Linked DNA regions of Saccharomyces cerevisiae S288C. The protein of the gene in region 3 purifies or fractionates together with the protein of the main gene of each other region. This does not show direct contact. Each region holds a gene or a part of one and is shown on either strand. Other genes may lie near its edges.

What was found.
Region 1: the proteins of TIM23 (region 3) and COR1 purify together in Saccharomyces cerevisiae (affinity purification with western blotting; 6 studies listed by BioGRID, with this or other methods). This does not show direct contact.
Region 2: the proteins of TIM23 (region 3) and RIP1 purify together in Saccharomyces cerevisiae (affinity purification with western blotting; 3 studies listed by BioGRID, with this or other methods). This does not show direct contact.

Annotation. Positions count from the first base shown.
Region 1 is NC_001134.8:133,769-137,529, reverse strand, and holds COR1 (ubiquinol--cytochrome-c reductase subunit COR1), read left to right. Parts: upstream 1-2,013; coding exon 2,014-3,387; downstream 3,388-3,761. Other genes in the region: ECM13 (Ecm13p), read right to left, coding at 69-842; YBL044W (uncharacterized protein), read right to left, coding at 1,164-1,532. UniProt on the Saccharomyces cerevisiae protein: Component of the ubiquinol-cytochrome c oxidoreductase, a multisubunit transmembrane complex that is part of the mitochondrial electron transport chain which drives oxidative phosphorylation.
Region 2 is NC_001137.3:105,523-108,440, forward strand, and holds RIP1 (ubiquinol--cytochrome-c reductase catalytic subunit RIP1), read left to right. Parts: upstream 1-1,737; coding exon 1,738-2,385; downstream 2,386-2,918. Other genes in the region: YEL025C (uncharacterized protein), read right to left, coding at 1-625. UniProt on the Saccharomyces cerevisiae protein: Component of the ubiquinol-cytochrome c oxidoreductase, a multisubunit transmembrane complex that is part of the mitochondrial electron transport chain which drives oxidative phosphorylation.
Region 3 is NC_001146.8:661,230-664,201, forward strand, and holds TIM23 (protein transporter TIM23), read left to right. Parts: upstream 1-1,683; coding exon 1,684-2,352; downstream 2,353-2,972. Other genes in the region: acetyl-CoA carboxylase ACC1, read right to left, coding at 1-145. UniProt on the Saccharomyces cerevisiae protein: Essential component of the TIM23 complex, a complex that mediates the translocation of transit peptide-containing proteins across the mitochondrial inner membrane.

The DNA.
Region 1 (3,761 bases), on a different chromosome or scaffold from region 3:
AAAAAAATAGGATGCAGATGTGAATATGATAATGCAAAACGAAGTTGTGTTATTTCCTTCATTTTAATTTATGCTGTGATAGGACAAGAATGAAATCTCGTTAATGGTACGGAACCATCGTCGACATCGCTACTACTCTCGTTTTCGCTGTCATCTTCTTGTCCATTTACCCGCCGAGAGAGCACACGGAAGATTGGCGCTGAACTATGCAAACTCACAGCATCGAGCGTTTCAGTGTCCTGTTCTTCCTCTGTCGTAGAGGCAGTGGCGGGAAGAGCATTGTAGCGCGGCGTTGATTCGGCAAGTTCATCCGTCTGCTCGGAATGAGAGTTTGTGTGAGTCAAATATTGATAATTAGGTGCGGTGTGAAAACTAAAGTACATGTCAATTTTCTTGTTATAATCACCGCCAGAGTAATCGTACTCAAAATCATAGTCTTCATAATCATCATCGTCTTCACTGTCAGTAGAAGATAGAGTGTCAGCATCTGGATCTTCGTCACTAGAGTAAAAATCACAGTAATCTTCACTTTCTATCGTCTTTTCTGCATTTTCCTCCTTACCGACGTCATTTTTACTAGCATTAGCATTGGACAATTCGATATGTTCGATGGACAAGTTTTCAGGTCCTTTACTGAAAGGGTCTCCGGCAAGGGCGTTGGTTGCAGCATTATGAGTTTCCACATTTTCTGTAATCTTATCCAGCAAGTTTGCGTGCCCGACTAAAACTCTCAGGTTGTAGTCTTTGTTTTTAGTAGTCACGCTAACGCATTTTGCCAGCTTGGAGCGTACTTTGCTGGCCAAAATATATTGATCTTGAATCGATGGGGTTGTAGAGTTCATTATAATCGCAGTATGCGGAATTTTCTATGTGAGAAAAACAATAAATAATTGTGAAAAAACTTGGATGTATAGTGTAATACTATAAAAAATTTCTGCTGGTATGTAGCTGTCTTTTTATTTTTTCTTTGGTCATACAGGGCTGTAAGCAGAGAAAGTCGAACAAAGACGTAACACCAGAGAAAGAAACTTGAATGCTTTTGTTAGATATATATATATATATTTATACATATGCCTCTCGCTAGAGGATATATCGCCGCGGAGCGCAGCGAACTACATCCGAAAACATCACAAATAATGCATGGGCAACCGGATACATTGCATTTAGTTTTGCCTTTTTTTCCAATTGTCACAGCTTCCTCGAAGTTTCTGACCCGGTAAAACGTGCGAAATGCCTCTTCTAATGCCGAAACAAGGGAAACCCTTAAAGCTTCCGTGCAAGCTGACCATGCCGGTCCGCACTTCGGGTCTTGTCCGTCGCCCGTGATCCAATAGGATACAACTACAAATCTGGGGTAAAGTCCGACTTTCGGCCCGCCGTGCGTTACTGCATGTTACATCACTATGGTGGGGACGGAAAATCACAGATGAGTCAGCTTCGTGATTTCCTGTTTCGGTGATGCTTGCAGTATACTTCAAATACTTCGCTTTACTTGGCAACCTTTTTTTTTGCCTCTCTAGCATTTCACCCATACCCACCAGGGGGAAAAAGAAAAGAGAGATTTTAAAACCAGATATTCTTTTTCACGATTTACATAACCCGGACTGGGTAGGGTAACATGTATATGAACTTTAACTGTGACCCGGACAGCACGCTTTCTGCACCAATGAAATGCCAATAAATTAACAGTGTTTTTTGTCCTCCAGAAGTTCAAGGGCCCGCGCTGTCAGCTGCACCAAATAAAAACCAAACAAGAAAATTAAAGGCCTACAGCGCTCCCTAACCGATATTCCCCTACTCTCTTTCCCCGTCTTATTCGAGGAAAACAGCGTATAATAAAGCAATAGCTTTCACAGAAAAAATATTATATCATCCCTGTTCGTATAGGTAACGAATCCTAATATTAAATTGCTACCATTGCTGATCAAGACAATTGTGGAGTAATAATACGAGAAGAACATCATCGTCACCATATCACTGAGAAAGAAAACACAAGATATATAAACAAAAAAAATGCTAAGAACAGTAACTTCAAAGACTGTATCTAACCAGTTCAAGAGGTCTTTGGCTACAGCTGTAGCAACCCCCAAGGCCGAAGTAACGCAATTATCTAACGGTATAGTTGTAGCCACTGAGCATAATCCTTCCGCTCACACAGCCTCTGTCGGTGTTGTCTTCGGCTCCGGTGCTGCCAACGAAAACCCTTATAACAACGGGGTTTCCAATTTATGGAAGAACATCTTTCTATCCAAAGAAAACTCTGCTGTTGCCGCCAAGGAAGGTTTGGCATTGTCTTCCAATATCTCCAGAGACTTCCAATCTTACATTGTATCTTCTTTGCCAGGTTCTACCGATAAATCACTAGACTTCTTGAATCAGTCTTTCATCCAACAAAAGGCTAATTTGCTATCTTCTTCTAACTTCGAGGCCACGAAGAAATCTGTCTTGAAGCAAGTTCAAGATTTTGAAGAAAACGACCATCCCAACAGAGTTTTGGAACATTTACACTCCACCGCCTTCCAAAACACTCCATTATCTTTGCCTACTAGAGGTACTTTGGAGTCCTTGGAGAATTTAGTTGTTGCTGATCTGGAATCTTTTGCCAATAACCATTTCTTGAATTCAAATGCTGTTGTTGTTGGTACCGGTAATATCAAACATGAGGATTTAGTAAATTCCATCGAATCCAAAAACCTAAGTTTGCAAACCGGTACCAAGCCCGTACTCAAGAAAAAGGCCGCTTTCTTGGGTTCCGAAGTTAGATTGAGAGACGACACCTTGCCAAAGGCGTGGATTTCGCTGGCTGTGGAAGGTGAACCTGTCAATTCACCAAATTATTTTGTTGCTAAATTAGCCGCCCAAATTTTCGGCTCATACAACGCCTTCGAACCCGCTTCTAGATTACAAGGTATCAAATTGTTAGACAACATACAGGAGTACCAATTATGCGACAATTTCAATCATTTCTCTCTTTCTTACAAAGATTCCGGTTTATGGGGGTTCTCTACGGCCACGAGAAACGTTACCATGATTGACGACCTCATCCATTTCACTTTGAAACAATGGAACAGATTGACCATTTCTGTCACTGATACTGAAGTTGAACGTGCCAAATCGCTGTTGAAATTACAATTAGGGCAGTTATACGAATCTGGTAATCCCGTCAATGACGCTAACTTGTTAGGCGCAGAAGTCCTAATCAAGGGCTCCAAACTGTCTCTGGGTGAGGCTTTCAAGAAAATTGATGCAATCACAGTCAAAGATGTTAAGGCTTGGGCCGGTAAGAGATTATGGGACCAAGATATTGCTATTGCTGGTACAGGCCAAATTGAAGGGTTATTAGATTACATGAGAATCAGAAGTGACATGTCCATGATGAGATGGTAAGATGTGTGATAATATATTTTCCATGCACATAAAATAGAAATAAGCAAGCTGCTAGATGTATACAGGCACGCTCGCACACTCACACCATAAATGAATTTTTTACATGTATTTTATATTCTAGTAACCCAAGTAGTCTTCATTATTTATTGGCAAGGTCACTGTTCCTTGCAAAAGTAGAAAATAAAAAAAGAAAAAAAAAGAAACTCGTAAGAAAACAAGATTAAATAAACGTCTTATTTTATATAAGTGTATATATATATATATATATATATGTGACCAAGATCCTGAAGAACTATCGATTTTAAAAATAAGAAAGATGAACTTTTTTTTGGTAAAACATATTTAATGATATTATGCAAATGGGAAGTTGTTGG
Region 2 (2,918 bases), on a different chromosome or scaffold from region 3:
GGCAAAGAAAATAAACGTGTGATTTACCTGTGCATGTGGCGTCGTCAAGCAAATCCTCCCTGCTAATAAAATCAAAGGAGATAATTTCTTCGCCATCGGTGGCATAAAATCTTTCGACTATTCCTTCTCTGAAGTCAAAGGAGTAAATTGTCGTACATAACGTATGCAAATCACTATCATATGATATGTTTTTATTGCAAGTGTATAAAACACCCTCAAAGGAAGCATTTAACCAGCTGGAAGTTAATAAAGAAATAGTATCCAGTTTCGGAGCCACATTAGAGTCGTAGATAATTTCAAATTTGTTATTTTCGCATTTGAATCCCTTAATGGAACCGTCGTTAAACATTAGCAGGTGACAGAAGGAAGCTGACATGAACATCGGTACAGTTGCGTAGTTAACAACGAACGGTCCATCTAAAGCGAACTCAACCTTCGCTTTCAATTCGTTGGACGTTCCGGTATACAATCCATAGCTAAAACATAAAAAGTAACTTCCTTCGTGATGAAGACAACTTACCAGCTTCTCAGCCTCATCTTTTGATCTATAAGATGTTATGCATAAAGGTAAAAAGGCCGAATTGCTATCCAATTTTTTGCAGTCCGTTTCATCTTGTCTTGCCATTTTACGTGGCAATGGCTAGTGCAATATGCAATGCGCTAACGCTGACATTATAACACAATATATTTTTCTACCCTCCCTTTCGCTGAGTTGCGACCAGAATGTCTGTTTTTCAGTCATGTATTTCTTTCCGCTTTAGGCGTTCAGGCAAGCGCGTTCAGTTGAAAGCAAATAGAACCTATAACGACGAATACGCTTAAAGGAAGTATACAGGAAATAGAAAAAGAAGCGTACTGCATGTACTAAAAACCAAAAAAAACACCACATCGGCTCTCTGGTTGTATCCATACTTTCCCTAAAATTTTGTAACTCAAGAAAATACCTACATAAAACGATAATCAGTGGATTGCACTGATCAAGTCGAAAAACTCCGTACATGCCCGTCTATCCCTGTCTCATCCATATAAACTGAACTAGGTAGAAAAAAATACCTACCCTTTCTTTAACCGCCTGGTATATTAAATACCATTGTCAATTGAGAAGCTAACAGCCATTGTAAGAGTTATGTCCAGTGTCCGACTAAGACAAGGTAACCATACGTTGATAGCTATGAATACCCCAGAGGAAGATTATTCTTTCTCATAAATCCTTTTTATTGGTTTCAAAAATCCACCAATAAGTTCATATAGCTTGGGCGGCTATTCATGCGTAATATAATGTGCATGAAGTACGACCCATCGACTCTTAGAGCAAATGCTTCCTAAATTGAAATAACTAGCCGCCTTTAATTCGAGCCTTCTTGTCATCTTGTGTATTTCATCCTTTCAACTTCTCCTGTTCCACCTTTCACTCTAAGCTTCCCTATCATTTGGCCTCTTTCAGGTTCGTCCATAGCGCATCTTTTTCCTTTTAGACACTCCATAACGGACCAATCAGCGTTTTGCGCCATTTATCGGTCTTGGGTCACGTGCGGCGACGCGGAGGCTCCCTTATAAGGACTGGAAAAAGACCTGCAAGAACTATAGTTGGTTCTTGAATATCAAGTAATATATTACTTCTCTGTCGTAACTTTTTGTTGCTTTCAAGTTCAACGTCTTTTAAAAACCAAGAAATTATTGAACATAAATAATATCACTCTAACACTTATTAGGAAACCGAAAGGAGCAATAACAAACATGTTAGGAATAAGATCATCTGTCAAGACCTGCTTCAAGCCAATGTCTTTAACTTCCAAAAGACTGATTTCTCAATCTTTGCTGGCTAGCAAATCCACGTACAGGACCCCAAATTTTGATGACGTTTTAAAGGAAAATAACGATGCTGATAAAGGCCGTTCTTATGCTTACTTTATGGTCGGTGCTATGGGTCTTTTGTCATCTGCAGGTGCCAAATCAACCGTAGAAACCTTTATTTCATCTATGACCGCTACTGCCGATGTTTTGGCTATGGCTAAAGTTGAAGTTAATTTAGCGGCTATCCCATTGGGTAAAAACGTGGTTGTCAAATGGCAAGGTAAGCCTGTGTTCATTAGACACAGAACTCCTCATGAAATTCAGGAAGCCAACAGTGTGGATATGTCCGCTTTGAAGGACCCACAGACCGATGCTGACAGAGTCAAAGACCCTCAATGGTTAATTATGCTGGGTATTTGTACTCACTTAGGTTGTGTTCCAATTGGTGAAGCCGGTGATTTTGGTGGTTGGTTCTGTCCTTGCCATGGTTCACATTATGATATTTCCGGTAGAATCAGAAAGGGACCTGCCCCCTTAAACTTAGAAATTCCTGCTTATGAATTCGATGGTGATAAGGTCATTGTTGGTTAGGTTTGTTTTTCGTCCTCGAAAACTACATCTTTATTGTCTATTTGTTTCACCCTTATTTTGATTTTTCATTTACTATCCATTATGTTATGAACGGGAACTATACAACTAACCTAAGAATTTTGAAATCACAACAAAAATAATCAACATCACAGTCTCGAAGGGATTACGCTCAAAAAGGAACGAAAATCACTATACTGTATTCCCTGTTGATTTTCCTAAGAATATATTCTTATACAATATGGAGAAAACAAAAGGATAAGAAAAGAAAGGGGAAATAAAGAAGATTTGGACCTATTTATTACTACTTTTTTGTCTCACCATCTTCTTTTTCTATTCATAATATTTGATATTCCTTTATTTATCTGCATGTATTTATAATTAACGAAACTATTTATCTTCCCTCGTCCTGCCTTATCCTTCTTTTCTCCAAATGTTTTACCTAAGATTGGCCTGTATTTGAATATTGATGTCCAGAAGCAGAAGATTTCACATGTTGTATAAAGTATACAAGATTGTAAAAATGATTGAAGTAT
Region 3 (2,972 bases):
AGTCCCTTAACGGGGACTCCTCTAGTTTATCTACTGTATTGAGGCCAATGAAATGACCTGGAAGTTCTGTATGTCTTTCTGAGTAGTTTGTAATTTCGTACTCCATCTTCTGTGGAGAAGACTCGAATAAGCTTTCTTCGCTCATGGTAGAAACTTGATTTTTTCTAATTTTCTGCGCTGTTTCGGGAACGGAAAAAAATTAAGCTAGAAGACGAATCGGTTATTATACTATTATATTTGTATAGTATAGTAGCGTGTCGTATCGTATCGTGTCGTATCGTATCGTATCGTTAAAAGAAAATACACGAATAAATAATAATATGTGGAGAAGAAAAAGGGAAGTTTCTTGTCTCTTGCTCTGAATCTGAATTCCAATTCAAGTTCAAATTGTTCTCTAGTTTATTGTCCAAAAATAAGGATGAAGCGGGAGGGAAGGGCAGAGGGAAAAGTTCGTATAGTAGAATGAATAAACTTTTATAAACACATGCACCGATCACTCACAGAGGATAAAAAAATGGCACAACAAATATATATATATAGATGCAAATGGCGATTGCAAATTAGGGAATTGGCTTTGTTGTTTTTTATCTTCAGGTAAACTGTACGAAAGGGATAAAAAGAGTAGAATAAGGAAAGGAAAATTGAAGAGAGCAGAACAATTGTAGAACCGATAACAATTGTGACAGTGATTGTGCTAGGCTATACTGTGCCAGAATACGACTGGGAGTGCTGTTCTTCTTATATATCTTGGCGCTGATTGAGCGTATAGCCTAGTTCACCAAGCAGTAGAGAGAGTGGCAATGAGCGGTTGAATTTCGACTGCGACTTGTTGGCACAACGCGCGCGCGGCCGGGCCATGTGAAGATTTTAACGGGCGCAACGATTCGGTGGGCAGTGGAAATTGTTGGGCGTTGTTCAACAAGATGAAGCATTCCCCTTTGGATAACGTCAACGCATATCGGGCCAACCTACAGGCAATGAGCGAAAGCGACTGAAGCCGAGAGATGTGCCCGGAGTTTGTTGTTCTTGTTCTTGTTCTTGTTCTTGTTCTTCTTGACGGATGATACTAGTCGCAGTCGTGGTGACTCTGGAGGGCGTAACGGCCGTGATGCGGCCTGAGCTCACTGTGACGTCGATGCATGCGCGGGTTCGTTGCGTTCAGGCCTGACGGGCGATTCCCCACCAAGTATAAGTGTCATGATATACGCGGCACCTGAGCAGCACATTAGGTCCCAATTCAACCCAACATATATAATGGTTCTGTATGGGTATTTTAAGTGTGCAAACAAAATGTGAGTTACCCGGCTGTTTGCTAGTCGCTGCGTACGAACTGGCTTGCTAAAGCTGGGTAAAAATAATTTAATCGCAAAAGGAAGAAAAGGAAATCGACGATTCATTGAAAAAAAGAGAAAATACTGAAAAAAAAAAGACACCGACAAAAAAAAGAGAGAAAGGAACCTTTACGTAGAGCAAAAGGGAAACATTTGTTGCGTTTAATTAATAGAAATAATAGGTTATTGCATTCGCCCTCCATTGCAGAAAAAAAAAAAAAAAAGACCATTTTCCTCTTCTACTCTCTTTGCCTGTACATACTACACGTTATAGCGTTAACAAAAGCAGATAGAAAAAAAAAAAATAACCAAGATAATATAGGTATACTTGTTTAACAGATCACACACAATCATGTCGTGGCTTTTTGGAGATAAGACACCTACCGATGATGCGAATGCTGCCGTGGGCGGCCAAGATACAACCAAGCCTAAGGAACTATCGTTGAAGCAGAGTTTAGGTTTCGAGCCAAACATCAATAACATAATATCAGGTCCTGGTGGAATGCATGTCGACACCGCTAGGCTGCATCCTTTGGCTGGTCTAGACAAGGGTGTGGAGTATTTAGATCTGGAAGAAGAACAACTATCCTCGTTAGAAGGCTCACAGGGTCTGATCCCTTCCCGTGGGTGGACCGATGACCTATGTTACGGTACCGGTGCCGTCTACCTGCTGGGACTTGGTATCGGAGGGTTTTCTGGTATGATGCAGGGTCTGCAGAATATTCCGCCCAATAGTCCCGGAAAATTGCAATTGAACACCGTCCTGAATCACATTACTAAGAGAGGTCCCTTCTTAGGTAATAATGCGGGGATTCTCGCGTTGAGCTACAATATCATCAATTCTACAATAGATGCACTAAGAGGCAAACATGACACCGCGGGCTCCATTGGCGCTGGGGCCCTCACGGGCGCTTTGTTCAAGTCTTCAAAAGGTTTGAAACCCATGGGTTATTCCTCGGCAATGGTGGCCGCTGCGTGCGCCGTCTGGTGTAGTGTCAAGAAAAGACTACTTGAAAAATGAGCAACACAAGAACCTACTCTCTCTCTCTCTTTCTCTCTCTCTCTCCCTCTTCGCTTTTCCCCCATGCACTGATGGCGCTTGTATATAGCATTTGAAAAATAATAGTACGTAACGCAGAAAACAAACCAATGAAAGTAGAAACCCGGAGAAAAGATCTAAAAAAACAAAAAAAAAAGATGGAAAGAGCGCATGTATGTGTAGATATGTACATATATACAACTACTTGTATGTTATTTGCCTTTTGTACTGTTAAGCTATTGTTTTCGATGGCCAATTAAAGTAAAACAAACCGCTCACTCTCGGGTATTTCCCGAAACTGTCAGAGCCGTCCCGGCCCACCGATTCGCCCGGCAAGACCTGCTTGGAAGCAGCACAAAGCCCTGCGGCCTCTGTACACCTCACGCTAAATAGCTGCTAACGATCAACACCTGACCGAGATAACAGCAGCAAAGAACCCGCAAAAAACTGCGCCGTCTAGGCCTCAACCCTTGCTTCCTACAACCAAACAATGGTAAAATATACAAAAAAAAGAAAAGAATGCTCTTTCTTATTTCCCTTTTAACCTAACCATCTTTTGTTTTTTGTCGTTTAACCTGGAAAGAATGTTCTATTATATAAAC